4 linked regions of the Drosophila melanogaster genome follow. The protein of the gene in region 3 interacts with the protein of the main gene of each other region in a pairwise test. Each region holds a gene or a part of one and is shown on either strand. Other genes may lie near its edges.

The links.
Region 1: the proteins of CG4896 (region 3) and CG15022 interact in a two-hybrid assay, tested with the Drosophila melanogaster proteins (one large-scale study listed by BioGRID).
Region 2: the proteins of CG4896 (region 3) and Arf4 interact in a two-hybrid assay, tested with the Drosophila melanogaster proteins (one large-scale study listed by BioGRID).
Region 4: the proteins of CG4896 (region 3) and Adi1 interact in a two-hybrid assay, tested with the Drosophila melanogaster proteins (one large-scale study listed by BioGRID).

The regions. Positions count from the first base shown.
Region 1 is NT_037436.4:4,458,650-4,461,838, forward strand, and holds CG15022 (uncharacterized protein), read right to left. Parts: upstream 1,669-3,189; 5' UTR 1,599-1,668; coding exon 1,596-1,598; intron 1,534-1,595; coding exon 649-1,533; 3' UTR 544-648; downstream 1-543. Other genes in the region: CG15023 (uncharacterized protein), read right to left, coding at 2,097-2,603, 2,668-2,670.
Region 2 is NC_004353.4:1,122,339-1,125,835, reverse strand, and holds Arf4 (ADP ribosylation factor 4), read right to left. Parts: upstream 1,670-3,497; 5' UTR 1,572-1,669; coding exon 1,505-1,571; intron 1,401-1,504; coding exon 1,138-1,400; intron 1,069-1,137; coding exon 943-1,068; intron 887-942; coding exon 800-886; 3' UTR 511-799; downstream 1-510. UniProt on the Drosophila melanogaster protein: GTP-binding protein involved in protein trafficking; may modulate vesicle budding and uncoating within the Golgi apparatus.
Region 3 is NT_033779.5:1,175,710-1,183,011, reverse strand, and holds CG4896 (uncharacterized protein), read right to left. Parts: upstream 5,323-7,302; 5' UTR 5,151-5,322; exon of another isoform or gene 5,065-5,150; 5' UTR 5,063-5,064; coding exon 4,968-5,062; intron 4,905-4,967; coding exon 4,545-4,904; intron 4,172-4,544; coding exon 3,943-4,171; intron 3,886-3,942; coding exon 3,816-3,885; coding exon of another isoform or gene 3,781-3,815; exon of another isoform or gene 3,561-3,780; coding exon 3,487-3,560; exon of another isoform or gene 3,153-3,486; coding exon 3,075-3,152; intron 3,016-3,074; coding exon 2,889-3,015; exon of another isoform or gene 2,800-2,888; coding exon 2,563-2,799; intron 2,500-2,562; coding exon 2,086-2,499; intron 2,018-2,085; coding exon 1,219-2,017; intron 1,158-1,218; coding exon 908-1,157; intron 843-907; coding exon 726-842; 3' UTR 558-725; downstream 1-557. Other genes in the region: CG5126 (uncharacterized protein), read left to right, coding at 1-517; CG4887 (uncharacterized protein), read right to left, coding at 5,640-5,756, 5,821-6,070, 6,131-6,911, 6,969-7,302.
Region 4 is NT_037436.4:10,661,512-10,664,989, forward strand, and holds Adi1 (acireductone dioxygenase 1), read left to right. Parts: upstream 1-1,864; 5' UTR 1,865-1,934; coding exon 1,935-2,057; intron 2,058-2,138; coding exon 2,139-2,216; intron 2,217-2,278; coding exon 2,279-2,406; intron 2,407-2,563; coding exon 2,564-2,657; intron 2,658-2,716; coding exon 2,717-2,854; 3' UTR 2,855-2,924; downstream 2,925-3,478. Other genes in the region: CG8003 (uncharacterized protein), read left to right, coding at 64-270, 339-1,112, 1,173-1,415. UniProt on the Drosophila melanogaster protein: Catalyzes 2 different reactions between oxygen and the acireductone 1,2-dihydroxy-3-keto-5-methylthiopentene (DHK-MTPene) depending upon the metal bound in the active site.

The sequences.
Region 1 (3,189 bases), on a different chromosome or scaffold from region 3:
TCACTATCAGGTTTTAATTAAAATGCTTAAAGACAAAATGAAAGACAAATCAAGTGTGCTATTAAAGTAACCTAATGTTTAAACATTTAAACTTTAACCCTTTTCAAAAGAGCATACTCAATTCGTTAGGGGCTTAATTATTTATTTCTGTCTAATCTTTTCATGGCACCTTTAAAAGACTTGCCCCATCTCTGGGCAACATTGAAAGAGGTCAACTGTCGTCCCATTGCCGATGGCTGCAATTGGCGATTAGCGATTTTGGTTCGGTTTGAACCTTTCTGTAACCGACACCGATCAATCCCTATAAATATATTCAAACCAAAACTCACATCATTTTTCATCCAAAAAGACAGTAATTATCGACACTGCAGGTGATGATCGAGCTGAACTAAAGCTAAAACCGAAGCCGTTTGGCTATTTCGGTTGATTGGCCGCAATTAGATTTGGAGGTCAGATTGAAATCCACATGGATCCCTTGGGGGCTGGGTGACAGCAATTTGGGTTTGATATCTTTGACCTTGAGGATGGGGAAAGAGTGCGAGTGGTGTAATACTCCATTTTATTTTTTGTTAAAAATGCTTTTAATGTGTACAGCTTAAAACTAGATGCAGTGCTTGTGGTTTGGTTTTTTTTCGGTGGTTGATTATCCTAATGCCTGAAACGGCGAAGTGGAGGCTTGTAGTGGTAACCAGGCTCGGCGTCGTGGATTGGACTTGGTGCAGGGCCCAAGGGCAGTGCATAGGATGGAATCGGTATGTGGAAATCTACCTCAGGCTGGGGTGGCAGATATTTTTGTTCGGGCTTAGGAGGCAGATACTTCTCGACGGGCTCGGAAGGTGGCAGGTACTTAGTCTCCGGCTCGGCAGGAGGAAGATACAGCTTCTTGGGAGCCACTGGTGGGGGTGGAGGTGGTGGTGGCAGACTGGGTGCAACCTTGGGTGGCAGATACCTTGCCACTGGAGCAGGTGGCAGATACTTCACCTCGGGCGTCGGAGGAGGAAGGTACTTGGACTCTGGCGGACTGGGAGGCAGATATGTGGGCTTGGGCGCCACAACTGGAGGTGGTGGTGGAGGAGGCAGGCTGGGAGCGACCTTGGGTGGCAGATACTTGGCCACCGGTTCGGGGGGCAGGTACTTCACTTCAGGCTTTGAGGGAGGCAGATAAGTTGCCTTGGGCGGTGGAGGTGGTGGCGGTGGCAGGGAAACCTTGGGCGGCAGGTACTTCTGGCGAGGTTTCTCTGGAGGTCCATAGCTATATCCGCTAGGGATATCGAACTTGGCCTCTTGATGATGATGATGGTGGTGATCCGGCTGATAGTGCAGATCAATGTGCAGATCATGATGATCGTGTGACGAGGGAGAATGGTGGTGGGAATGGACATCATAGTGGTGGTGATCATGATCGTGATCGTGATCATGGTGGTGATGGTGATCATGGCCGTGATCGTGGTAACCTCCTCCGTACAGGTGGGACACGTCTGCCCGAATACAGATGGCAAAGCCTGCCAGAGCCAAAAGGATCAGCATGGGTTTCTGTAAAATAACCAACCTCCTGTTAGGTCATCTTTATTAGAGAATATGCCGCTACTGTTTACCATTTCCTTTAAGAGATAATCCACCGATCGAGATGATGTTGCTGCCGTTTGATGACAGCAGGTAGTAATGTCAATAACGTCGATGGTCACCGCTTTTATACAAAGATCGCGCCTTCCTCGACCGGCTGGCTATTTGGTTTTCTTCACACTTTTCTTGGTTTTCATGAACTTGAGGTCGGCCAATTATCGGCGTGTGTTATCTCCCTCTACCCCAAAACAATTAATGCGATTTCGACCAAATTAGCTCTGCACAACAAAGCAGCTCATGAATATGCAGCGGATGCGACGAAATCCCAGACAATTGACGGTGATTGACTCGGCCATCTGTACCACTTTTGTCCCATCCCAATAAATATTTGGGAGATACCGATGCTAATGGGGTTAACAAAACAGCGTTTATTGAGATGGCTTTAACCTTATATAAACCTAAGCCTAGTGGAACGATTTAAAACAAAACTAATCCGGGGAAATCTTCCATGTTCAGTTCGATCGCGATTTTGCTCAGAAGGTGAACTCTTGGGCGGGCACATCGTAGTGGTAACCCGGTTCCGGTTGTGGTGGTGGGGGTGGAAGGTACGTGGGCACTGGCGTGGGTGCAGGTGTCGTTGTGGTTGTAGTGGTGGTGGTGGTAGTGGTACGCGGTGGTGGAGGTGGGGGAGGAAGGTAAGTGGGAGCAGGAGTGGGAGCGGGAGTGGTTGTCGTGGTAGTGGTAGTAGGTGGAGGGGGAGGAAGGTAGGTAGGAGCGGGAGTAGGAGCCGGAGTGGTTGTGGTGGTAGTTGTGGTTGTGGGCGGAGGAGGAGGTAGGTAAGTGGGTACTGGTTTGGGTGGCAGATAAGTCGGTGGTGGCGGTGGTGGCTCCGTCGTCGAGGTAATCACAAATGGTATCTCCGGCTTGGGGTAGTCATAGCCATAGCCATGCTCATGATGCTCCTCCAGGAGTTCCAGCGGCAAATGCGAAACATCACCGGCTGCAAAAGCCAGCAGACAGGTAGCCAAAATGAATAGCTTCTGAAATAGGAAAGAAATCGTGAAGTTCAGATTGCTTCTCATATCTACAACTGACCACACTCACCATCTCCTTTATGATATGTCTAACACCTTGAGCTCTTAAACCACAAATGATTGAGCGTTTGCATCCACGTCGGTTTATTTATAGTCAAAATTCTAAAACAGATCGATACTGTCCATGGCGCTCTAGAGGCCAATTATTATCATTTAAATCGATATAACACCGCTAGCCCCACGGCATTCTTTGTATCGGTAAATGTATCTGTATCTGTAGCGCTCTCCGCAGCCATGTTTATATGAATGATTAGCGCCACAATAGTGCGCCGAAGTTGACAGAGGAGCAGCGTCAACATCGCCAACTTTGTTTCGGAACTATTATGCCTATATGGGGCCCTACTGAGCCGTTTTTCATCAACGTCGTCACTTGGGTTTTCATTGTTACGGTGTTAAAGGTATGACCAAACTTCCGACGGAACCTGGGGCACAAAAGCTTAGCACACAGAAAAACAGTCATAAATTCATAAAAATTCTGAGCAGATTTTGAATCAATTTGAAATAAGTAATCAGCGAGTACTTGCATTCTGAT
Region 2 (3,497 bases), on a different chromosome or scaffold from region 3:
CTTTCGATATTTTTTCATAGTTTTATATTTTGTCGAATTCTTTCTCGAATTCCACGAGAATCAGATACCATTTACTCAGCAGGAAGTGTGAAAGATTTCAATAAGAATAACCAATTTTTTAAGAATGTTCGGCATGTTTGAGCGATTTTGGGTGGGGGGTTTTGGGGATTTTGGGTTACAAGACTAATAAAAATATTTTAAAATATCAAAAGTTTTCTCTCCGTAAATACCTCTGGAAGCTGCATGTCTAATCTCAATTCTCTACCTTTAATAGTTCTCTTCATACGGACATAGAATCTGCATGTCTAATCTCAATTCCCTACCTTTAATAGTTCCTGAGACCGAGGCGTTCATACGGACATGCCCAGATCAACTCGGATATTGGTCCTGATCAGGAATATATATTCTTTCTAAGGTCGGAAACGCTTCTGCTAACAGTTACGTAGTTTTCAACAAATCTGGTGGCTATTAAAAACTGAATTAACATAAATGAGTACGAATCAAAAATATGTTTATTTGATTGAATTCTGGTAATGGTATTGAGGCATACTAATAAAAAAACGAACATATATTTTCCCGAATAAGTAAGTTAAAAATATATTTTTATTAGTTATCCGATCACTAATTTTTAAAAATACAACTAAGGCAAGTGCAGTTTTCTCACCAACACATAAAACGTGGACATTTTAAATTTACAACAAAGTTCCAAACGAGTTTATATACATTTACAAGTTTATTTAAAATCTAGTTTTCAGCATACGAGAACAGCAATTCCTATCTTACAATATAAGGAATATTTTTATTTTTTAGCCAATTCAGCTGATAGCCAATCAAGTCCTTCATAAAGACCGTGCCCTTGGGTAGCACATGTAGACTGAATAAACCACTAAAAATGGGTAGATATAAGTAAACATTTTTGGGACAATTACCCCTAAGACATACGTGGCGATTCCTTAATTGGTTAAGGCGCAACTTGTCCGTAAGCTCGGCAGCTGTCATTGCATTCGGTAGGTCCTGTTTGTTGGCAAAAACCAAAAGTACCGCGTCCCTAAGTTCATCCTCCTGGAGCTGTGGGAAAAATAAACATGGAATTGGTTGACACGTATGTATATACTTTTAATTAAATAAAATGAGTACCATGTTCTGTAGTTCTCTTTCAGCTTCAGTTATACGATCGCGGTCGTTGGAATCCACTACAAATATAAGACCCTGTGTATTTTGGAAATAGTGTCGCCACAACGGGCGAATTTTGTCTTGGCCACCAACATCCCAAACGGTAAAACATATATTCTTATATTCCACAGTCTCGACATTGAAGCCTATGGTTGGTATGGTGGTTACAATTTCACCCAGCTTTAATTTGTACAGAATAGTCGTTTTTCCAGCAGCATCCAAGCCAACTGCGTACAAAAATATTTAAAATTATGTGCACGTTGATTGCAAGTACTTAAAAATTATGCGCGAACTAAAGGCTTATATTTAGTGTATCGTATTTTGAACATACCCATAAGAATACGCATTTGTTTTTTTCCAAACAAACGTGTCAAAAGACTAGATATTGTTAGTCCCATGTTTAATAAGAAACTATTTTATTTCGTATAGGAAAAAGCTTGTCTTCAGTAACTTCAGTAAATTGACGTGTAAACTAGTCATTCGATTAATAATGCTGTACTTTTCAGAAAAGTTAAACGATGGTTAAAAATACTGTTTTCTATAAAATACTAATAACAGTATGTTGACTATACCCTAAGCATGGTCTGATGAAAACAATAAAAAGAAACACAAAACTACATCGATAATACAATGTTTTGACTGCGCCATTAAGTCGAATGTCGATAAAACCATTTTCGTGTACATTTTTTAAGTGAAATATTTAAATTGACCTAGAAAGGCTGCCCCCAAGGGGTTAGTGAGCATATAACTTAGACTCGGAGTTACACAATTTTTAAAAATCACAACTGTTTTTTACGAATGTGCTCTGTAGGACTATGGTATTATTCGCGAATTCTAATTGCCAAAACAACTTTTTCAAATCAAATTTAAAAATCAAATTTAAAAACGATGTTACAAATTTTTCAAACACTATAAAGCTGCCTGAAAACAAAAAACTTAGGTTCTTCCTCTCTATTAACCAAAAATTAAGACATTTTTATTAATCAAAGGTCTGCTATTGCCAATATGTCGATATCAGGCCAAGATAAATGACAATCACTATATTTTGGTTGCGATTTGCAATAGTTAACAACATAAATATTCTGCCTCTGATCAAAAATAAAAAAAAAATGTTGAGTCTTGGGATATCAAGGAATCAAAATATCTATATATGAAAATATCCTACCCAAAAATTCCAGTCATTTGTAAATCAAAACAGCGTAAGCACCCCTTAACTTTCCTTTTAAACAAACCATGGTATCACTTAAAATTCGATTAAAATGTTAGAGCATAGTCTCCACAGGGCCTTATATGTTGTTTTTTTTAATCACTTTTCAAGTATTAACCACTTCCACACAAGGATCTGAAAATGTCGGATAAACGTTTCCAGTGTATTGACTTCTGTATTTAAACTTACAACTAGTTTTTCAAACGTCACAAGTAATTATTTTGCTGACAAAAGTAAGAAACTATGTAATGAAACAAAAAAAATTATTTTCTGAGATTTTGTTAATGTGCCCCGTCTAATTAACTTGTACTATTTCATATTTGAGTCGATTTAAATCTATGCATATGTAAAAGTTATAATCAAAGTATTTAGGTTACGCATGATTCCCTTCGGATAGGTTCGCTATTCGTTCAGTTAGGCAATCCAAGTTCATTACAGAATGTGTATCTCTTGGATACAACACATACACAAGATTTTCTCATCCATGCATATTCATATATACTAATGTAATACATATATGTAATCCAACAATCAGTTTCACTGTGGTACATTTTATAATGTTTAATCATATATAGTCACGGGAACTAGAGTTTATACACGGTCCTCGAATAAAATGTGTTTTGGAGCTGTAAGCTAATCAACAAAAAATGAGACTAACTAAAAAAAAGTGCTACTAAAATTCCCAGACTTTCCACTTTCTGTCCTACATATATATAATTAAAGAAAATCCGAACCAATTTGAATAACTTATCTATTTTATTCTAACACCAACAACAACTTTAAAAAGTTTTTGATTTAACGTAAAAAATTGGCCGTAATTCTTGTTGCTTTGGTTACATTCTTTCTATTGTATTGTACCAACGAAAAAAGTAGAGAAGCACCGAGACGGTAGTGGAATTATTCCGGAACACTTTCGATACTCTTTTTCGAGTGGAAGTGGTTTCATGAGGAGGAAATTTGGTGTTCCTTTTTGCCGGGCTCTTTCATACTTCCCGTGCTGTAGGAACTCCGTGAAAAGCTTCTGTAAGCATTCCCTAAATGTCTTCTGGATATATTCCGAGACTATATTACAATACTTTCGTAAACATTACTCAGGATTGTTTTCTAGATACTTTCC
Region 3 (7,302 bases):
CAGGAACAACGTGCTGTTCCACTACGGCGCTGAAGATAAGGTGGACGCTATCAAAGCCATCGATTTCCAGGAGCTGCGCTTCAGCACTACGGCCATTGACCTGAGCTTCTTTATGTACATGAACACGCCATCCGAAGGAAGGAAGGAGATCTACGCCGACTTGTTGCGCAAGTACCATCGAAGCATGATCGAAATGTTGGAACTGGTTCTGCGCCGAAACCGGAACGAGTTGACCGACGATCGGGTGGACCAGTTGCTACAGGAATACAGCTTCGAACGCTTCAATGCCCACTTCAAACGATATGCCTTCTACGGACCAATGGTATGCATGCACTTCCTTCCCTGGCTGCTCGGCACCGAGAAGGATTGCGCCGAGTTGTCCCGCCTCTTCGAGACGGATATGCACGGCCCCGCCTTCCACCAGTTGTCCTTGGACATCGCTGGCGATGAGGCGAACCAGGAGATCTTCAAGACCGTTCGTCACGCCTATGAGCATGGCTACATGGACGAGATTTAGATTCCCTTGCACAATTCCATACTTAAAGCATTTACAATTTAAATTTAAACCTAATTTGAGACTGTATTTACGAACTATTTACAATTTGAACTTCGCAACTAATGCTAAATGAACGCGACAAGGTGGAGGAAGTGTAATCGAGGTAAACAACAATGCTTAAATGCCCCTATATTCAAGCGGAATAAAATCATACACTTTAAGAAGAGTCTCAGGCGTTCTCATAACGCTGCTTCATCATCTTTTTGATGTAGGATTTGTAGTCGTTCCCAGGCGCCATATGGCCAGTGTTGTTGCCCAGCCCCACGTTGTTAGAACGACCATCAGCCTGTGGATACACATTGACATTGAATTATCCATATTTTGCCATTCGTCGCCCTCGTCGACTCCTACCTCTATGATCTCGGTGCGTCCCTGGTTCTTTTTGCCCAGTCCCTGGCCCTCCGACCAGCCCATCTTCTGCATCAGGCGGCTGCCCACGTTGGTCGAACTGATGGGCATGGCTGCAGTGGCGCCAAAAGAATCCTTCTGGCGCGACTGCAAAGTCTTTATCTCTTGCTCGAAACGCTCCCGGCTCCTATTTGGTGGAGGAGGATCGCTCTCACCGTACTTCAGCCTGCGTTCCTTGGCACGATCACGATAGCTAAGTACGGGTAAGTAAATTAGTGAGTTTATCTCCATTCTAGCAGCATATTCCCACTTACGATAGACCCTCATCCGTGCCAGCCTCAACTGCGGGATTCCGTTTAAGCTTGTCCAGATTCTCCTTGTGTAGATTCGACATTTTCAAATGCTTCTGCAAGATGTCCAGCGATTGGAAGGCACGCATGCAGAGCAGGCAAGTAAGTTTTTGGAAGTCCACGTAGTCAGATTCATCGCTAATGGCTCGTTTAGTCCCAACGCTAGCTTCAAGTGCTTTCTGATTGGCACTATTATCATCTTCCGAGTCAGAAGGTCCTCCATAAGCACCAACCAATTTGCTTATCGCTGGAGGTCCTGCCTCCGGTACATAGTCGTTGAGCTTGCCAAGCTCCTTCTTCTCAAGGATTGAGAATCCCACATCAGCATATGCCCCTTGGGAAGCACGGGAGGTGGTGGCCGCCTCAGTATCCGACAGGATAGGCTGCGGCGTTGCCACTGCTGTGTAGTCCTTTTTTTGGTTTAGCTGCTTGGCCCACTTCTCCATGTCCTTGACGATCTTCTTGGCCACCTTCACCTTGTCGGGCTTCCCCCCAGCTTCCTCCTTTTCTTTTTCCTTCTCCTTTGCCTTTTTGGCCTCCTCCTCCTTTTTCTCGGCATCGGCTAATACTTCCTTGAGGGCTGCCTGAGTGGAAGCGGGTGTGGCCAGCACATAGGTGCTCCGCTTCTGATCCCAGTACAAATACGCGCCCGTCTCGTTGTTGTAGTAGTACTGCGAGTGGGCATCATAGTAGAGTCCTGTAACGTGGTCGTAGTAGTAGCCGGAGGTCTCGTCGTACTGGTACTTGGACACATCGGGAGTATCTAACCATTGAGCATGAAATATTCGACATTACAGGAGCGCATAGATAGAATAGTGTGCGCTCACTTACCGTATTTCTTGCCATCATTCCCCTTGGGAGCACTTTCACCCCTGGCAAGGAAGGCGACCTTCGCCTCTGTCACCGAAACCGTGGTCTCCATCTGGCTGACCTTCCGTTGCTTGCGCTGGATGGCCGAGAGAGCAACGGCAGCGCCGGAGTTGGCCTCCGTCACTTGACGATCTCTGCAGTTCTTGCTTATTTCAGTCGTGTAATAATCCGTATAGTACTGGACGTAGTTAGCATGCTCCAACGGATTCGAGGCATACACGGATGCACTGTACTCCGCAAGACGAGGCACATCCGCCAAAGTGTAGGCCGCCGTAATGGCCGACGGAGACATCGCTGTTTCACCTGCTCTAAAAAAGTTGCCTTCGGCTGGCATCATTTGACGGTTTTCGGAGTCAATGCAGTAGGTGACGATAACTGAAGGGCATGGATTAAAGTTTTGTTTTTTAATTATGAAATAATTAAGAAGTAATAATTTACCTGTTTTGTCGTCCAGAGTGAGTGGCGGATCCAACGCCGTCAGCCCGTTGAACACGTTCATAGAATCAATGAGTGTGTCAAAATTGAGGTAGCAAATGCCCCGAGATGCATTGGTTAGGGCGTCGCGACTGACCAGCACCTTGCTGACTGTTTTGGCCAGTTCGGGCAGGCGCTGCTGAAGGGCAGTTAGCACGCCCTCCTCGTTTGTCAGCGCGTCCAAGCCGCGAAGCATGATCTCTGCATGGGGAAAGCGTGGCAGGTTAGTGGGGTATTTAGCTGATTAGCTAGGAAACGGCATTGAAAGATATTGCTCATGGTGGATATACTTTTTGTGAGGATTTGGCTGATCTCGTCGACGCCCTCGCCGGCTCCGTAAAGAGCATTCTCGCTCTCCGCCCGCGACGCATTGCACATGTAGCATTGGAAGCGGCGCTTAAAGTTGCTGGCACCACACTGAAGGATGGCGAAAAAAGCTAATTATTGTTGCCAATCTGTATCTTAACGGAGCATACCTTAATGCAAGTCCAGTCTGAGATGCGAGTGTGACTATACTGCATGGTGACACGATGATCGCCCAGTTGGAGGACTCCCTGAACGGAAAAATAGAAGAGGTAAAATTGGAATTAGTAACTGAAACTGCTGATCAGGCAAATCGTTCACAGACTACACAGTCACCAAGATTGCATCTGTGTTTTTCGACATCACGCAGATGCTGGTTGCTTCCTTTACGTAAGATTCGATTCCGCCTTTGAGTTCAGTTCCCTGATCTAAGACAGAAAAATGGAAGGGACAGGCAGCCCACCAGCAGAATTGAACTCAAGGCACACATTTTTCAACAGTTGATGCCAAGCTATCGGATCTTGCCGTCATTTCTATTTTGGCGGATACGAGAAGATTCAAGATTCTTGTGGTTTTTAGGGATACCTGGGTTAACTCCATCCAACGAGTCGCCTCCTCAACGGTTTTAAACTCGACAAATGCAAAACAGCGTGAGGCACCTAAATTTTAGATAGAAGTAGATACGAAAATGTTTGGTCAAAAAATGTTGGTTGTATCATTAGCATTGTGTCATTTTTGGGGATTGTGTTTTTGTTTCGGTTTGTAGTTTTCTATATGTTTTTGCTGATGTCGAAGCCAAGTATAATTGAAATTGCTATAAGTCCTACATCGAACATGTTGCTGGGCACGCAATACTCACGCTTTCTCTACAATTTCACTTTAAATCGAATGTAACACACGGAAATGTAACCCACCTGTTTGTTGCTTCCTCATCACGCGAATGGATGTGGGCTCCAGGTCGACCTTGATCAGCTCGCCCATGATCTGTGGAGGATTACTTGGTTAATTTTACATTCGTTCTGCTTATCGCTTAAACATTACGTCTGCTTCCGTGACGTGCTTCTTCAGACCGAAGAGGATTATGTTGTTCAAGGGCTCAACGCTGCTGCCACTGTTGTAGGCACCTCTCTGCCTGAATTCGCTGGCCATGTCGCTGTCCTCGTCCGAGGAACACCGTCTATCTCGATCGCGCTCCTTCTCGCGATCTCTGTAACTGCTGCTGGAGTTACTATTTCCATTATTATTGAACTGCCGCTGGTCATTGCTGCGGCTGAAAGGAAAGCGATTCTTTAAGGTCATACAATGAGCACTTTGTCGAATAAATTTTCGTTCGGTTCGTTTGAAACCATCGTTTGCATACTATCCACTGTAATTAAAGGCATCCAGCATGAATATTTCATAAGATGATTTGTATGCATTTATGCGAACAAAGGGAAGTGTACATTACTGAATGGGTTGATTTCTAATTATTTTGACTTTTATTACAAGTGATTAGCAAATGAAAGGTCTTTTAAACTAGTGAAAGAGGAGTCCTCCTTCTTATGGAAGCCTTGTGAATGGAAACATAGAACTTAGCTTAATCTTAATCTCAGTGATAACACTGAGCACGATATGGGTAATATGCAATATGTATCATTTCTTACCTGCTGCGCTCCGATCCCCGATCGAAGTCATCATGGTTGCGCTCTCTCGAAACGCGATCGTAGTTTTTCCAGCGGTGATCGCGGTCCTTATCCATATCCTGGCCACTCTTGTCGTAGTTGCTATCGTGATCCCTGCGACCCTGGCTATCAGCATGCCGACGATCGTATTTGTCCTCGCCGTGGCGCTGGTCAAGGTTCTGTCTCGAGTTGTAGTTTCCCTGATCCTCGTAATCCTCGTTGATCAGGTCGCGGTACAGATCGCGATCCGGACTGCGGTCGTTTCTATAGTGTGAGGACCGCTCCCGACTGCGCGAACGGGAGTTGCGACGTCTGTACTCATTGCGGTCCCGACTTCGTTCCCTGAAATAATCGCAATTGGTAGTAATCCACTAAGAGGCTCCAGGTGGACAAAGGACTACCTACCTGGATCGGGATCGGGAGCGACTGTAGCGTCTGTAGCCCGATTCGCTGCCGTTTCCGTTGCCGCCCGAGAAGCTGTGACCATATCGAGAATCCATATCTAATGCGAATCGATTGTAATTAAATGCAGTGTTTGTGATTTGGCCTTTTGCCATTAGATGAACCGTCTATGTGCGCACATCTTACTTGGTTACCACGACTGTAACAGGATTGGAAGCTGGTTAAACTTGTTCCCGAACTGGAAGTCTCTTTGCATTCAGGCAGAAACAATCAGTTATCCGGCCAAAAAAAAAAACCCGAATAGAAAAATTCTCGGTCTTCTTTTTTGCCGTTCACCCGAAGTATCTGACTGCCAGTTATCGATAACTGACCGATAGCTCCAGGGCTACCAAGTGCCAGCTAACAGTTGTTTCCCAACACCAAGCAAATTTAAACTTTACACCGTTACATTTTATTTTGTACATTCGAAAAAGGATTTAAATTCGCTTAATCAGAAACTATTAACTAAACGGTCACACTTGCTCGTGGACTTAAAAAAACGCCAATCTGTTAGGAAAACAATGCTCAAGAAGCTTCATATATAATATGGAAATAATTTTTGCTTCGGTTGAAAAGCTGAATTAAACGGCGACTTTAGTTGAAATGAAACATGTGAAACGGCTAAAAACCAATTTCTCAAGCATTCTCGTAGCGCTGCTTCATCATCTTCTTTATATAGGATTTGTAGTCGTTGCCCGGTATCATCTGTCCCGATTTGTTGCCCAAGCCCACGTAATTGGAGCGTCCGTCCGCCTGAGGGAACCCAAAATGCTTAATTTTCTTAATTCATTTTATAGCTTGCCGTCAGCTCAGTTACCTCTATGATCTGGGTGCGTCCCTGGTTCTTCCTGCCCAGTCCCTGTCCCTCCGACCAACCCATCTTTTGGAGCAGTCGACTGCCCACGTTGCTCGAACTGATGGGCATGGCTGGAGTAGCGCTAGTAGACTGCTTTTGCCGCGACTGCAGTGTCTTGATCTCCTGCTCGAATCGCTCCCTGCTCCTATTTGGTGGGGGAGGATCGCTCTCGCCGTACTTCAGCCTGCGCTCCTTGGCACGATCACGATAGCTGGGAAAGAATATGAATTCAATGATAATATACTCCACCACACATCGCGATTTCACTTACGCTAGTGCCTCTTCGATGCTACTGCTAGTGTTTTGATTGAGCTTGGCCAGGTTCTCCTTGTGCAGAGTGGACATCTTCAAGTGCTTCTGGAGTATTTCCAACGATTGGAAGGCACGCTTGCAGAGCAGGCATGTCAGTTTATGGAAGTCCACGTAATCGGACTCTTCAGCACCTCCTCCGCCGCTTACAACCGCTGAACTCTGTGTGTTTTGCGAACTCGCAGCATTGTCCTCTTCAGAGTCCGATGTTCCGCCATAGGCATTGACAAGCTTGTTCATTGGACCCACAGTCGGGTTTGGCGCATAGTCGTTTAACTTGCCCCTCTCCTTCTTCTCGAGAATGGAGAATCCCACATCAGCATATCCCCCTTGATTGCCACGCGAAGTGGTGGCTACCTCGTTCGCCAATATTGGTTGTGGCGTGGCCACAGCTGTGTAGTCCTTTTTCTGGTTTAGCTGCTTGGCCCACTTCTCCATGTCCTTGACGATCTTCTTCGCCACCTTAACCTTGTCGTGCTTGTTTCCACCCTCCTTCTCCTTCGCCTTTTTGGACTCCTCCTCCCCCTTTTGCTCGGCGTCGGCCAGGACTTCCTGCAGAGCTGCCTGAGTGGAGGCGGGCGTGGCCAGCACATAGGTGCTCCTGCGCTGATCCCAGTAAAGATACGCGCCCGTCTCGTTGTTATAGTAGTACTGCGAGTGGGCATTGTAGTAGAGACCCGTGGTACTGTCGTAATAGTAGCCGGATGTCTCATCATACTGGTACTGCGTCACATCGGGAGTGGCTGCAACATAATGAAACATAATAAAATGCTAGCATACTCAAGTGAGTGGCGACATACGGTATATCTTTCCATCGTTGCCCTTGGGCGCACTGGCCACCTGAGCAGCCAATGTGGCCTTCACTTGCGCCGCTGCCTGTGCGGCAGCTGTGGCCGCCGCTGTGATCGTGGTCTCGATACTGCTCATCTTCTTCTGCTTGCGCTGGATGGCCGAGAGGGCAACCGCTGCTCCGGAATTGGCTTCCGTCAAATGGGAATCCCTGTTATTTTTGTTTATATCTGCCGTGTAGTACTCCGTATAGTACTGGACATAATAAGCGTGCTCTGCGGGATTCGAAGCGTACAGGGAGGCACTATATTCAGCGAGTCGTGGCACATCGGCCAGAGTATAGTT
Region 4 (3,478 bases), on a different chromosome or scaffold from region 3:
TCTTGATTTCCATATTCCGAAGAGCACTTGAAAAATCCAACAAAAACAAACAATCGAATCACAATGACCGAGGAAAGCAAGAAGATCGTACAGCTGGACGACGTGCAGCGCCAGTTGCTGGATCATCTGGCCAAGAATGACACCAGTGGATTCAAGCAGCTGCTGAGCGGAGTGAGGAATGTTAATTTCGTGGACGACACCGGGATGTCGTGTTTGGCCCACGCCAGCTTCAAGGGAAACCGCGAGGCGGTGCAGCTGCTCCTGGACATGGTGGGTACATCTGCCAGGCAACCACCGCTTGGGCTCTAAACATGAAATAACCGCCTTTTCTTCCACAGGGTGCCGACATAAACCTCAATCAGCATGGAGCTGATTATACGCCACTGCATTTCGCCGCTCTATCGGGCAATACACATGTGTGCCGGCTTCTTTTGGATGCTGGCATCAAGCCGGGTAGCATCAATAGTGTCAACAGGACCGCCGCCCAAATGGCCGCCTTTGTGGGCAACCACGCCTGCGTGGAGACCATCAACAACTATGTGACCCAGTCGAGTTTGGAGTACTACACCCAAGTGCATGGCCAGCAGACGGAGCCGCATATACCACCCAGCTTACTCAAATCGTTCCACGCCTTTGTCACCGAAATCAACCTGCATCCCGTGAGGATTGCCCTGAATGTGCAGTCCTTGGGATTGCTTAGGATCCTGTCCAGTCTGCGCAAGACGCTGGCTTTGATGTGCGAAAAGGAGATGCAGAAGTCGCATGACCTCAACGAGCTGCTGGCCTTCAAGTTCCATTATCAGGGCTGGATTTTGGCCGAACTAATACGCTGCGAGGAGCAATTCAAGGCGCAGCACAAGGAGAAAAGTGGCGAGGAGGCGGGCGATGCGAACAAGAACGATTTCATCGAGATGTTTGTGAAGCGGGTGCTCAAGGAGAACAAGCTGGGCCAGCTGGACTATGTGGAATACACGTTGCGCGAATGTGCCAGGGAGTTTCCCGTGAGAGAGTGCACCATCTTCCGGCAAATCGCAACGCAATTTGGCGCCAAGGATGCCCCACCAGCACTGACTGTCCTGCGAAATGCCATCAATGGGATGAGGTGGATTACGGTGGGTATCATGATCTCATAATCAAATGATTCTTTTCTAATCTGGAAAACTAATTTTCAGGACGAGGGCAACTACTGCAGCACCTGCGGCGCCGAGAAACCGGACAAGAAGTGCTCCAAGTGCAAGGCGGTGCAGTATTGCGATCGCGAATGCCAGCGGCTGCATTGGTTCATGCACAAGAAGAACTGTGCCCGCCTCCTGGCCCAATCCCAAGCCCAAGCCCAAGCCCAGCCGCAATCGCAAGCGAAGGGAGCCATTGACACGGCCGAGCTGCGCGAGGAACTGTCCAAACTGACTGCGTAATCCTGTGCTCCTTTGTAACGCCAATAAATGTAACATAAAACCAGAAACCTAGCATTTTCGCGTACTAAAAGATTGTTAGTACCAAACTGTCAGATGTCTACACAAATTAAACTAGATAATAGTAACGAAAGGCAAAATTGCACGCTACAAATTCAATTAAAGTCAAAACATACAACAAACTGCCCAAAAATCGTATATCTATCGTAAAATAATAAAGAGTAATAATGGAACAAAAAAAAAATAGAAAAATAACTCCTTTTGAAGGTTATTAAAATTATGGTTATTTTACGTTTTAAATCGAACATTTCAAAAATGAAGTTTTTAAAATAGCAGTATTTCGAACACAAAACTAACAGCATTCATTTTCGAATGTTAAGTTAACAGCACTAGCGGCATTCGCCTGAGTGTCTGTTATCGATTTCGAAAATTCGAAAACGAACAGCTGATGCCAGTTGAATTTTTCTTGTTTAATCTATTTGTTGCTCGTTGCTCGTGAAAACCCGTTTAAAACAGTCCAAAATGGTGCAGGTTTGGTATATGGATACGGAGGAAACCGATCAGCGCCTGGAGCACCACCGCAATCCGCCTGCCTACTTGGAACTGGATGATCTGTACCAGAAGACCGGCGTGGAATACTTTAAGGCAAGTGAAAAGCGAAATTGCGACTTTAAAAACCTTAAGTGACCTTGGGGGCGAGCTTATCTTGATCATTCACATTTGCAGATCAATGCGGACGAGTACCAGAGCGATAATACCCTCACGGAACTGAGGGCAAAACGTGGCTACACCTACGATGATGAGGCAAGATCGATGTTTTCTTGAAAAACATCTACCGAACTTTGGTAAACTTCGAATTATTACAGATCACATGCTCGGAAAAGTGCCTTCCAGACTATGCCAACAAGTTGAAAGCCTTTTTCACCGAACACCTGCACACGGATGAGGAAATTCGCCTGATATTGGAGGGATCCGGTTACTTTGATGTTCGCGAGTAAGTTTTGTTTATTTACACCGCATTTTATAGTATCCCAGCCACATTTTCCCAATTAAATAGTTCAAGCATTCATATTCTTACTGATATTGTTTTTGCTCACACTAATAACATTTTTGGAATTGTTTTAAAACGGAAAACTATTTATTCTTTATAGCAATGAGGACAACTGGTTGCGCATTAAGGTTGTCAAGGGAGATCTGATCATTATACCAGCTGGCATATATCACCGCTTTACTTTGGATACCAATGTAAGTTATTTTGACAATCTTATATACAAACTTAAACTATTTGTATTGTTTTTTCTTAGAACTTTATCAGAACTCGTCGCTATTTTGTGGGCGAACCTGTCTGGGCTCCACACAATCGTCCTGCTGATGAAATGGACTGTCGCAAATCGTACATCAAGCATCAGTCGGAAAACTTTGTGCAATTCAATAAGGTTTAAAAACCTTAAATCTTATCTTTTACCATCAAGTTTGATATTTTGAAATATAAAATCGCTGTGTATAATCAATAGTTTCAATAGTTTTTTGTTTAACTTACAATTTTCGCTGATTAACGTAGTTTTGATATAGAATTCGAAGTCTATTTTCTATATCAATAAACCCCGCCAAAAACTTGATTTCGAATTTTATCTCTTAGTTGGTTGCTGCATATGCTAAACGTACTTTCGAACTCGAATCTCAGAGAGTACAATTCGCGGTATGACCGTACCAGCGCCGAAGAGAAAAAACAGCGCAAGTATATAATCCCAAGCGCCAGCGAAAGTATCGAGCCAACATCGATGCGCGTGCCATCGCTAGGAAGGAAAACAAAACAAACACTTTTTTACTTTTTCATCTCTCGGATCGTTCGGACGTGCTACGCGGTCTCGTCTGTGTGTGTGAGGTAGTGTGCGTGAGCGGAGCGGCGAAAAAGCACAATTGAAATTAAATCGAGTCGTTATCTGTGGATTCGGCGGATACAATACAATATCGTATCGTTATCTATTTACAAACAAATCGACGTGGATTAATAAAATGCCGCACACGAATGCTTAAAGCGGCCTATCTGTGTGTGTGTACGTGTG